Xenopus tropicalis: one gene and its partner. The protein of the gene in region 2 interacts with the protein of the main gene of each other region in a pairwise test. Links are inferred from orthologs where the notes say so. Each region holds a gene or a part of one and is shown on either strand. Other genes may lie near its edges.

Region 1 (5,028 bases), on a different chromosome or scaffold from region 2:
GTGTAGGAGTAACAACAGATGCATTAATATTATATAGGAGAATACATTACTCTGCATATATATATGTATATATATTGGTTTTGTAGGCAGTGGCAGGTCTTCTGGCAGATGCACGGTCTTTAGCTGATATTGCACGGGAAGAAGCCTCAAATTTCCGGGCAAACTATGGTTATGACATTCCTTTAAAGGTACTTTTTTTTTTTCCTTATTAGTAACTCCTTGTTTTTTTTTTAATGTAATTGCTAACTGTTAAAAGTAATTTATGTTTCCGTTTGTTTTCCTCATGTCGTATTTCAGCATCTTTCAGACAGAGTAGCCATGTATGTGCATGCATACACACTGTACAGTGCGGTCCGACCGTTTGGATGCAGGTATGATTAATACATGATCCCTTTTATCGTTTTATAAGCACACTAATTGTGTATCCAAATGTTCAATATAGGAGCTATCCTGCCTCATTGTTTAGCTTGACTTTTTCCACTTAAATTCTCTGTATTATTATAGTATATAAATATTCTGTTATTGCTCCAATAAAATGAGAAATATACAATGTGAGTTTGCTGTGAATGAATAACATTGGCATGTTTCCAGACTGTTGTCAGTATTTGAGTCTGTATGTAATGAGGGATAACAGACTACATAGAATGAAGTAGAAAAATGCACTAGACACCATCAGCTGTTTAAGGTTGTTTTCATTCTTGTTTGACAAGAATAATGTTTCTTTAGGCTACTGCAACACAGGGTTGATAAACACAGGTCCACACAGGTGATGCTACCCCTATGCTACCAGCCTTCTTATGTGTTAGCTTCTGGAGCCACTGTGTTGGTCTGGGTGCTTAGAAATTGTGCAGATTTCAGCTCTGATACTTCTGCGTTTTGGCACCAAAATCCACACATGAGAGGGCTGATGCTAGTATAGGGGTAATTCTGAGATAAATGCAAGCCATGCCCTGTGGGGCAGTGGCCTTACAGGAGATTGTAGGTAGAATCACTAGGGTGGGGTTGTCAAGTTGTTAAACACCCATTTAATTACAGTCTGTTAAGCCAGCTGTATACAGGCCAATAAGAACTGCCATCCTGGCTGATATCTGGCCACAAATCAACATTGTTAGCACTAGGATCAGCCTGATTTGTCCCAGCACATGGGTGGCTCTTAGGCCCAGATCCACTTGTTCAGCAACCTCCACCAAACGAATGCATCTAGCAGGGTATGGCCAGCTTTTATTCCTACTCCAGGCTGGTAATCATCATAAAAAAAAAATTCACTGACAAACATACTTTTCCGTTAAGTGCCGCACTGACGTATTGCTTTCATATATTCATTCTCCTTTAGGTACATGATTACTGTAAACTAAAAATAATGTTAAGGGAAAACTAGCACTGCTTCTGTGGGGAAGAATGTTTTGAAACTCTAGTAATCATTGAAATGTTTTTATGCTGTTAGAAGTCAATGTTCTGCTTTTTAAGTACTGTATATACTCGAGTATAAGCCTAGTTTTTCAGCACCCAAAATGTGCTGAAAAAGTCACCCTCGGCTTATACTCGAGTCAGATGCCATGGGTCTCTCTAGACTAGCCCCCTCTGTCCTTTGTGTGCAAATTAAGCCACCCGCAACAAGATCCTCCAGTGCCCTGGCCTGCACCCAAATTCACTATCCTCACCTGTCCCATTCTGCACTAGGCATGGCACTTTATATTCTATATAAACTATATACAGTGTTGAAGGATTGAGCTAAGGGGTGTAGTACTCTTAAGTTATCATTGTTGATACCATATTGTTTTTGTTGACCCTCTTCTCCACTTACAGAGCTAACTTACTGTTTTTCTTTGAAATAAATATTTAAAAACATACCCCACTGATGCCTCAATTAATGTAATTTTATTGGTATTTATTTTGATTATTGAAACTTAGCAGTAGCTGCTGCATTTCCCACCCTAGGCTTATACTTGAGTCAATACGTTTTTCCAGTTTTCTTAGGTAAAATTAGGTACCTCGGCTTATATTCAGATCGGCTTATACTCGAGTATATGCGGTAGTTACTTGAGGCAAGATACTACAGCTCTGCAATTTTCATACTGGGCTAATATAGTATTAGGCTATAAGGAGCTTCTTTCTTCTGTGCAGAGCAGGGAGTGTAGAACAAAGGAAAAGTCAAATAAAATATCAGCTATCCAAAGTATTCATTTATGAAAACTTGCTTTATATTATTAATAGTAATAGGGTTTTTTTGGCTATAATTATGAGACTACTGGTAATATTTATGTTTTGTCTGTTATTTGTTTTTATTGTGCAGTTTTATGTTGGGATCTTATAATGAAGATGATGGTGCTCAGTTGTACATGGTTGATCCATCAGGCATCTCCTACGTAAGTTATAGGCATGTGAAGTTTTTCAGTTTGTTGATCATGGTTAGTAATACAAGTATGGGATCTGTTATCTGGAAACCTATTTACACAGAAAGCTCCAAATAACCGGAAGACCATCTCCTATAGCCTCCATTTAAATCAAATAATTCATATTTTTTACAATTTCTCTGTAATAATAAAACAGTACTTCATCCCAACTAAGATATAATTAATCCTTATTTGAGGCAAAACAATCCTATTGAGGTTATTTAATGTTTAAATTATATTTTACAGACTTAAGGTATAGAGATCCAAATTACAGAAGGATCCCTTTTCCCCAGTCCCATTCTGAACAGGTCCCGTACCTGTAGTTATGATTTCAAAATATATGAATGAAGCCAGTGTTTTCACACTTCAAGCAATGTTTTATGTGCAGTACAGAATATATACATATATGTAAATGTTTAGAGTTTTAGAAAAGAAAATGAATGTAAACTTTAAAAGTGCTTAGAATAGCAATTTTATGTTTGTTGGGGGTGTATACCCTGACTTTAATATAAAAATAGACTTTGCCTTAAGTGACAAAATGCAGGCAGTATTATGGGATAGAGAAATAATCTCATTGCAGGAAATGGAATGGAATTTGAAAAACTTTTATGAAGAATAGTAAGACAAGTCTTCCTGCTTGCCATCAGCTGGTTCCCTTCCAGCAGGGAGAGGTTTATAGTTACTTATATTAGAAATAGAAAATCACAGATCAAAGTCTTTGTATCTAAAGATGTATTTGGTCTGTCACTGGGTGAAATTTCATCCATTAATTGTGTTCTAAAGAAAGTTTGTTTTCTTTAGCCAGAAATAAACCACCAAGGCCCTGAAACTATATATCATTAGTTTAGGTAAAATGAGACATATATTTACAGCAAAACTGTAGGTACATTTTGCAACAGCAACATATTCTGTTTGATATGTACCATGTAAGAAAATGTTACATCGTATTTAAACAAATTAAAAATCTCTTGTTTTTTGTGTATTTCAGGGCTACTGGGGTTGCGCAATTGGTAAGGCCAAGCAGGCTGCTAAGACAGAGATTGAAAAGCTTCAGGTAGGATTTTTACCCAATCAGATATAGTGTCCTGCTAGATTTAATTGCTGTTGTGTCTGCTATGCTAGAACCCCTACGGTACTTACTTCTATAAGCATAGTGCCACACACAGCCAATATAAGAGAATGTAAGAGGAAAACAAAGTGTCGAACAAATGGCTTCAATTTGGTAATTAAGCAGCATTTCACCCTAATAACCCCTCACCCAAAATGTAATGTGAGCACTGTAGTCATTTATATCTTTTATTCATATATATATCTTTATATAAATATATATCTTTTTTTTTTTTTTTTTAATACAGATAAGCCACTGATGCAGACAATGCCTCTAGATATTATGCCTAAAGGTGGCCTAAACGGCCACCTGAAATCAGCCAGATATCAATCGGGCAGGTTAAAAATTGTAGTCCGATCGCGGACTGCAACGGCTCATTGATGCGGTCCCCGAACCGACACTGCCCATAAGCATCACTATCATTTGATCGTTTGGCCCCAAGGCCAAACGACTGAATTAGCCTACATTCGCCCAATATCGCCCACCTGTAGGTGGGGATATCGGGAGAAGGGATCTTAAAGTGTATGGCCACCGTTAGCCCCCTGGCAGCCAGAATAGCAGCTCAGCACTGCTGGGGAGAAAACATGATAATCGCCATAAAACTGCTAATTTCAAGAAAACACAACAGATCAAAAAAAAAACTATAATCTGTAAAAGACCACTATGAGCAATTTTACATAAACCTTTTTAAGGGTGTTTTGTTCTCCTTTATTGTAACTAAAATAAATACTGCAATTTCGGTAGCTAGTAGCTTTGCCGATCTGCTTCGCATTTCCTCCACTGGATCACAAACTCTAGACAAAATACAGATCAGTGCCACAGGCTATGGGAAAAAAAAACCAAATAACAGAACCTAGCGCAATATTGTTAACACTCAGTACAAACACCAGGATGTTGCAACACAATTGTGTGTGTCCAGAATCATAGAAAGTCTGTGTTTTAAGTTTGTGTGTTTTAAAGTGCTGTACTGATTATTGCAAAGTGTTATTGTGCTTCCTTTGTTTTGTAATGATACAAAACAAGGTGCTATAGTGCTTTTTTCAAAAAAATATAATAAAGTGCTACAGTGCTCTCTCCAAACAACAAATCTTAGCATGCAGCTTCTCCACTCTCCTGTGGGATTAGCAATTTACAAGATTCCTGATTTCAAAACACCATATCAGTACCAACTTCAGGGTACTCCTTTTCTCTGCAAAAAACATTAAAAAGCAGGGGCAGCGCTCCTAGTGTAATTAGCCTTTATTTTTAAAAAGATTATAAAACTTATTGCAGTTGCATAAGTCACACTGCATATCAAACAATCCCTTTCTTCAGTGTTATGACGCAGATCATGGTAATAAAGCTTTGCAGTACAAAGAGAGTGCATCCACTCACTGCCACAACTGGAAGTGATGTCACGGTGTGTATAGACTTTTTGTGGTTGTGGACACACACAGAATTGTGTTGCAAAACCCTGGTGTTTGTACTGAGTGTTAAGCTAGGTTCTGTTATTTTTTTTTTTTTTCCATAACCTGTGGCACTGATCTG
Region 2 (4,589 bases):
TAACTTCTGCAGATCCTTATACACAGAGGCAATGTTGTTATCTGTGGGGGGAACATGAAGATGCTGAATCCTACTACCCCCTACTGTAAATGATAAGGATATTAGCAGTCACTGAGGGGTTCTGTGCCCCCCATATAAAGGCACAAGGCTGCAGGCTGAGTTATACAGGGAACTCTGAGTATCACTCATGTATTATAAGGGATAATGTACCCCCTACTGTAAATGATAAGGATATTAGCAGTCACTGAGGGGTTCTGTGCCCCCCATATAAAGGCACAAGGCTGCAGGCTGAGTTATACAGGGAACTCTGAGTATCACTCATGTATTATAAGGGATAATGTACCCCCTACTGTAAATGATAAGGATATTAGCAGTCACTGAGGGGTTCTGTGCCCCCCATATAAAGGCACAAGGCTGCAGGCTGAGTTATACAGGGAACTCTGAGTATCACTCATGTATTATAAGGGATAATGTACCCCCTACTGTAAATGATAAGGATATTAGCAGTCACTGAGGGGTTCTGTGCCCCCCATATAAAGGCACAAGGCTGCAGGCTGAGTTATACAGGGAACTCTGAGTATCACTCATGTATTATAAGGGATAATGTACCCCCTACTGTAAATGATAAGGATATTAGCAGTCACTGAGGGGTTCTGTGACCCCCATATAAAGGCACAAGGCTGCAGGCTGAGTTATACAGGGAACTCTGAGTATCACTCATGTATTATAAGGGATAATGTACCCCCTACTGTAAATGATAAGGATATTAGCAGTCACTGAGGGGTTCTGTGCCCCCCATATAAAGGCACAAGGCTGCAGGCTGAGTTATACAGGGAACTCTGAGTATCACTCATGTATTATAAGGGATAATGTACCCCCTACTGTAAATGATAAGGATATTAGCAGTCACTGAGGGGTTCTGTGCCCATATAAAGGCACAACACCAAAGGCCGAGTGCTTTTATACAGATCATGGAACGGAATATAAGGTGACTATTTTACAACAGGGGGTACCTTATTTATTATAACACATCATGTGATACAGATGACATCACTGAGCACCAATTATAACTGATGACATCACAGAGCACCATTTAAAAGGATATCGTTTACAGAAAACGCATGGCTCTTGTGTTTAGACATAAACTTCTGATCCCGGCTCTTCATCCGTTAACCCTTTCCTGACAATTTTTTTGGCCCCCGCACCCCCTTTACCGGCGGAATCTGCCCCGTACCTGTCTCGGGGTAGGAAATGTAGGAATTGGTCGACAGCTGAAGTTTCCGCACACTTTTCATCTCGCTGTTAATCTTCAGGGTGGCTGCACGTGCAAAAGAGGAGAAATGAGGATGGCGGCAGCCATATTGCAACAAGATGTGAGCCTATGCTGTCGGCCAGGGGTCCTCAAACTGTGGCCCACGGGCCGGTTCCAGCCCCCTGGGGTAGGTGGTGGTCTGGCCCCCCCATTGCTTAAGAAGTTTGAGGACCCCTGCTGTAGGCAATGAATACAAACAGGAAGAGCAACTGTCACCCTAGAATTCAGAGTTTATAGGTGCTATGGGTGACCTGGTGTCACATGGTTCCTATAAACAGAATGGGGGGGGGGAATATACCAGAGCAATGAGAAGGAGCTTTAATACAAGGCTGCAATGCAATGCATGTACACTAGGTGGGGCACTAACTCTTTAACATGCTCCTGTGCCACACACACAGCAGGGGGCAGTACAGACAGCAGATGAAGGCAGGGGGCTGGCAGACTGGGAGGAAGAGGAAGGATAAAGTACAAGTAATACTCACCATTGATTATGACCAGCTTGCCCATCGGCAAACAAGCCAAGGTGGCCGAGACTTCAGCGCACAGAGGGTGAGTGTAGTGCAGCCTGTAGGCCCCCCCGCTGCGCCAATCCTGCGGCATACACAGCACCTTGCTTTCAGCACCCTGGGGGGGGACAAGGAAGGGTTACCGACCCACCAATCACAGATCCCTGGGATGGGGGGGGCCATATTGACTCCCTACCTTCTGTAAGTAGCCAGTCTCCAGCATCAGTAGGTGGATGGCGACTATGAACGCGTCGCTGGCGCCGGTGCAGCCGGCAGTTTGGTACAGAACCTCCAGGGAGTGGGGGATTTTCCCATCTAGTGCCTCGCTGCAGAGCATCACCTCCCAGGCCGGGCCCGACATCCCATCCTCCATGGCCACGTCCTCCGCTGAGGGAGGGGCTTGCTGGGCAGCCTGGCAGCAAAACCAATGGGCATTAGATAAGCCTGTCCGTCTCTAGCCCCATGGCTACTGCCCCATGGCTACTGCCCCATGGCTACTGCCCCATGGCTACGGCCCCATGTCTCCTGCCCCATGTCTCCGGCCCCACGTCTCCTGCCCCACGTCTCCAGCCCCACGTCTCCAGCCCCACGTCTCCTGCCCCACGTCTCCTGCCCCACGTCTCCTGCCCCACGTCTCCTGCCCCACGTCTCCTGCCCCACGTCTCCTGCCCCACGTCTCCTGCCCCACGTCTCCTGCCCCACGTCTCCAGCCCCACGTCTCCAGCCCCACGTCTCCTGCCCCACGTCTCCTGCCCACGTCTCCTGCCCCACGTCTCCTGCCCCACGTCTCCGGCCCCACGTCTCCTGCCCCACGTCTCCTGCCCCACGTCTCCAGCCCCATGTCTCATGCCCCATGTCTCATGCCCCTTGTCTCCTGCCCCATGTCTCATGCCCCTTGTCTCCTGCCCCATGTCTCCGGCCCCATGTCTCATGCCCCTTGTCTCCTGCCCCATGTCTCCGGCCCCATGTCTCATGCCCCATGTCTCATGCCCCATGGCTACTGAGTAGAGAATTATTTCACCCATCCCTACTACTGAGTAAACCAGGAATACCAGTACTACCAGTAGTATCTCAGCACACATTACCTGAGCCATGGCTTGGGCTCCTGTGCTATCATCTGACTGGCTCTTGGGCCTCTTGTTAGTCGAGCTGCAGGGTTGGCTGGGATCCACCAGGGGGCAGCCAAGATCCCGCTTATCGGGGGCCGGAGCAGGAGCTGGCTGCGGCGGGGGCAGCTGAGAGTCCGGCAGTACCACAACAATCAGATCCCCGGAGATGATCCCCGCAGACTCCAGAGTGTTCTGATCCCCAGTCAGGGCATCTTTGCCATTCAGTGTGATGGTGAAATTTGCCTCAGTGCTGCAAAGGAAGGATATAATAATTAAAGGGTAAGTGTCCCTGCTGTATGTCTGTTCCCAGGGGGGCAGCGCATTACCTGTAGCCCAGAGCCGGCAGGGTGACGGAGGATAATTTACTGCGCAAGTCTCCCAGGGTCGGACTCTCCGCCTCCAGCTCTAAGCGATTGGTCTGCTTCCTCACTCTCACCCTCAGCTTCATTCTTATTGGCTGCGCGTCCCTGAGGGAAGAGAAAGGCTTCAGTAAAGGAACACGAGCGGCTTCTGATTGGCTATCGCTTCAGGCAACACATATTGTATTATTATCCTTTATTCATATAGCGCCGACATATTCTGCATCATTCCCATCAGTCCCTGCCCCAGTGAGCTTACAATCTAAGGTCCCTATCCCATTCCCATCAGTCCCTGCCCCAGTGAGCTTACAATCTAAGGTCCCTATCACATTCCCTTCAGTCCCTGCCCCAGTGAGCTTACAATCTAAGGTCCCTATCCCATTCCCATCAGTCCCTGCCCCAGTGAGCTTACAATCTAAGGTCCCTATCCCATTCCCATCAGCCCCTGCCCCAGTGAGCTTACAATCTAAGGTCCCTATCCCATTCCCATCAGTCCCTGCCCCAGTGAGCTTACAATCTAAGGTCCTTATCCCATTCCCATCAGTCCCTGCCCCAGTGAGCTTACAATCTAAGGTCCCTATCCCATTCCCATCAGCCCCTGCCCCAGTGAGCTTACAATCTAAGGTCCCTATCCCATTCCCATCAGTCCCTGCCCCAGTGAGCTTACAATCTAAGGTCCTTATCCCATTCCCATCAGCCCCTGCCCCAGTGAGCTTACAATCTAAGGTCCCTATCCCATTCCCATCAGCCCCTGCCCCAGTGAGCTTACAATCTAAGGTCCCTATCACATTCCCATCAGCCCCTGCCCCAGTGAGCTTACAATCTAAGGTCCCTATCCCATTCCATCAGCCCCTGCCCCAGTGAGCTTACAATCTAAGGTCCCTATCCCATTCCCATCAGTCCCTGCCCCAGTGAGCTTACAATCTAAGGTCCCTATCCCATTCCCATCAGTCCCTGCCCCAGTGAGCTTACAATCTAAGGTCCCTATCCCATTCCCATCAGCCCCTGCCCCAGTGAGCTTACAATCTAAGGTCCCTATCCCATTCCCATCAGCCCCTGCCCCAGTGAGCTTACAATCTAAGGTCCCTATCCCATTCCCATCAGCCCCTGCCCCAGTGAGCTTACAATCATCTAAGGTCCCTATCCCATTCCCATCAGCCCCTGCCCCAGCGAGCTTACAATCTAAGGTCCCTATCCATTCCCATCAGCCCCTGCCCCAGTGAGCTTACAATCTAATGTCCCTATCCCATTCCCATCAGTCCCTGCCCCAGTGAGCTTACAATCTAAGGTCCCTATCCCATTC

What was found.
Region 1: the proteins of fbxo7 (region 2) and psma3 interact in binary tests that used the Homo sapiens proteins (3 or more experiments, as listed by UniProt). The two-hybrid records come from large-scale screens. The link is inferred for Xenopus tropicalis from reciprocal best matches to the Homo sapiens genes FBXO7 and PSMA3.

The regions. Positions count from the first base shown.
Region 1 is NC_030684.2:103,574,173-103,579,200, reverse strand, and holds part of psma3 (proteasome subunit alpha type-3), read left to right. Parts: intron 1-86; coding exon 87-188; intron 189-297; coding exon 298-371; intron 372-2,293; coding exon 2,294-2,366; intron 2,367-3,381; coding exon 3,382-3,447; intron 3,448-5,028. UniProt on the Homo sapiens protein: Component of the 20S core proteasome complex involved in the proteolytic degradation of most intracellular proteins. This complex plays numerous essential roles within the cell by associating with different regulatory particles.
Region 2 is NC_030679.2:7,492,084-7,496,672, forward strand, and holds part of fbxo7 (F-box only protein 7), read right to left. Parts: intron 3,395-4,589; 5' UTR 3,376-3,394; coding exon 3,254-3,375; intron 3,178-3,253; coding exon 2,904-3,177; intron 2,231-2,903; coding exon 2,015-2,230; intron 1,937-2,014; coding exon 1,795-1,936; intron 1,319-1,794; coding exon 1,235-1,318; intron 42-1,234; coding exon 1-41. UniProt on the Homo sapiens protein: Substrate recognition component of a SCF (SKP1-CUL1-F-box protein) E3 ubiquitin-protein ligase complex which mediates the ubiquitination and subsequent proteasomal degradation of target proteins and plays a role in several biological processes such as cell cycle, cell proliferation, or maintenance of chromosome stability.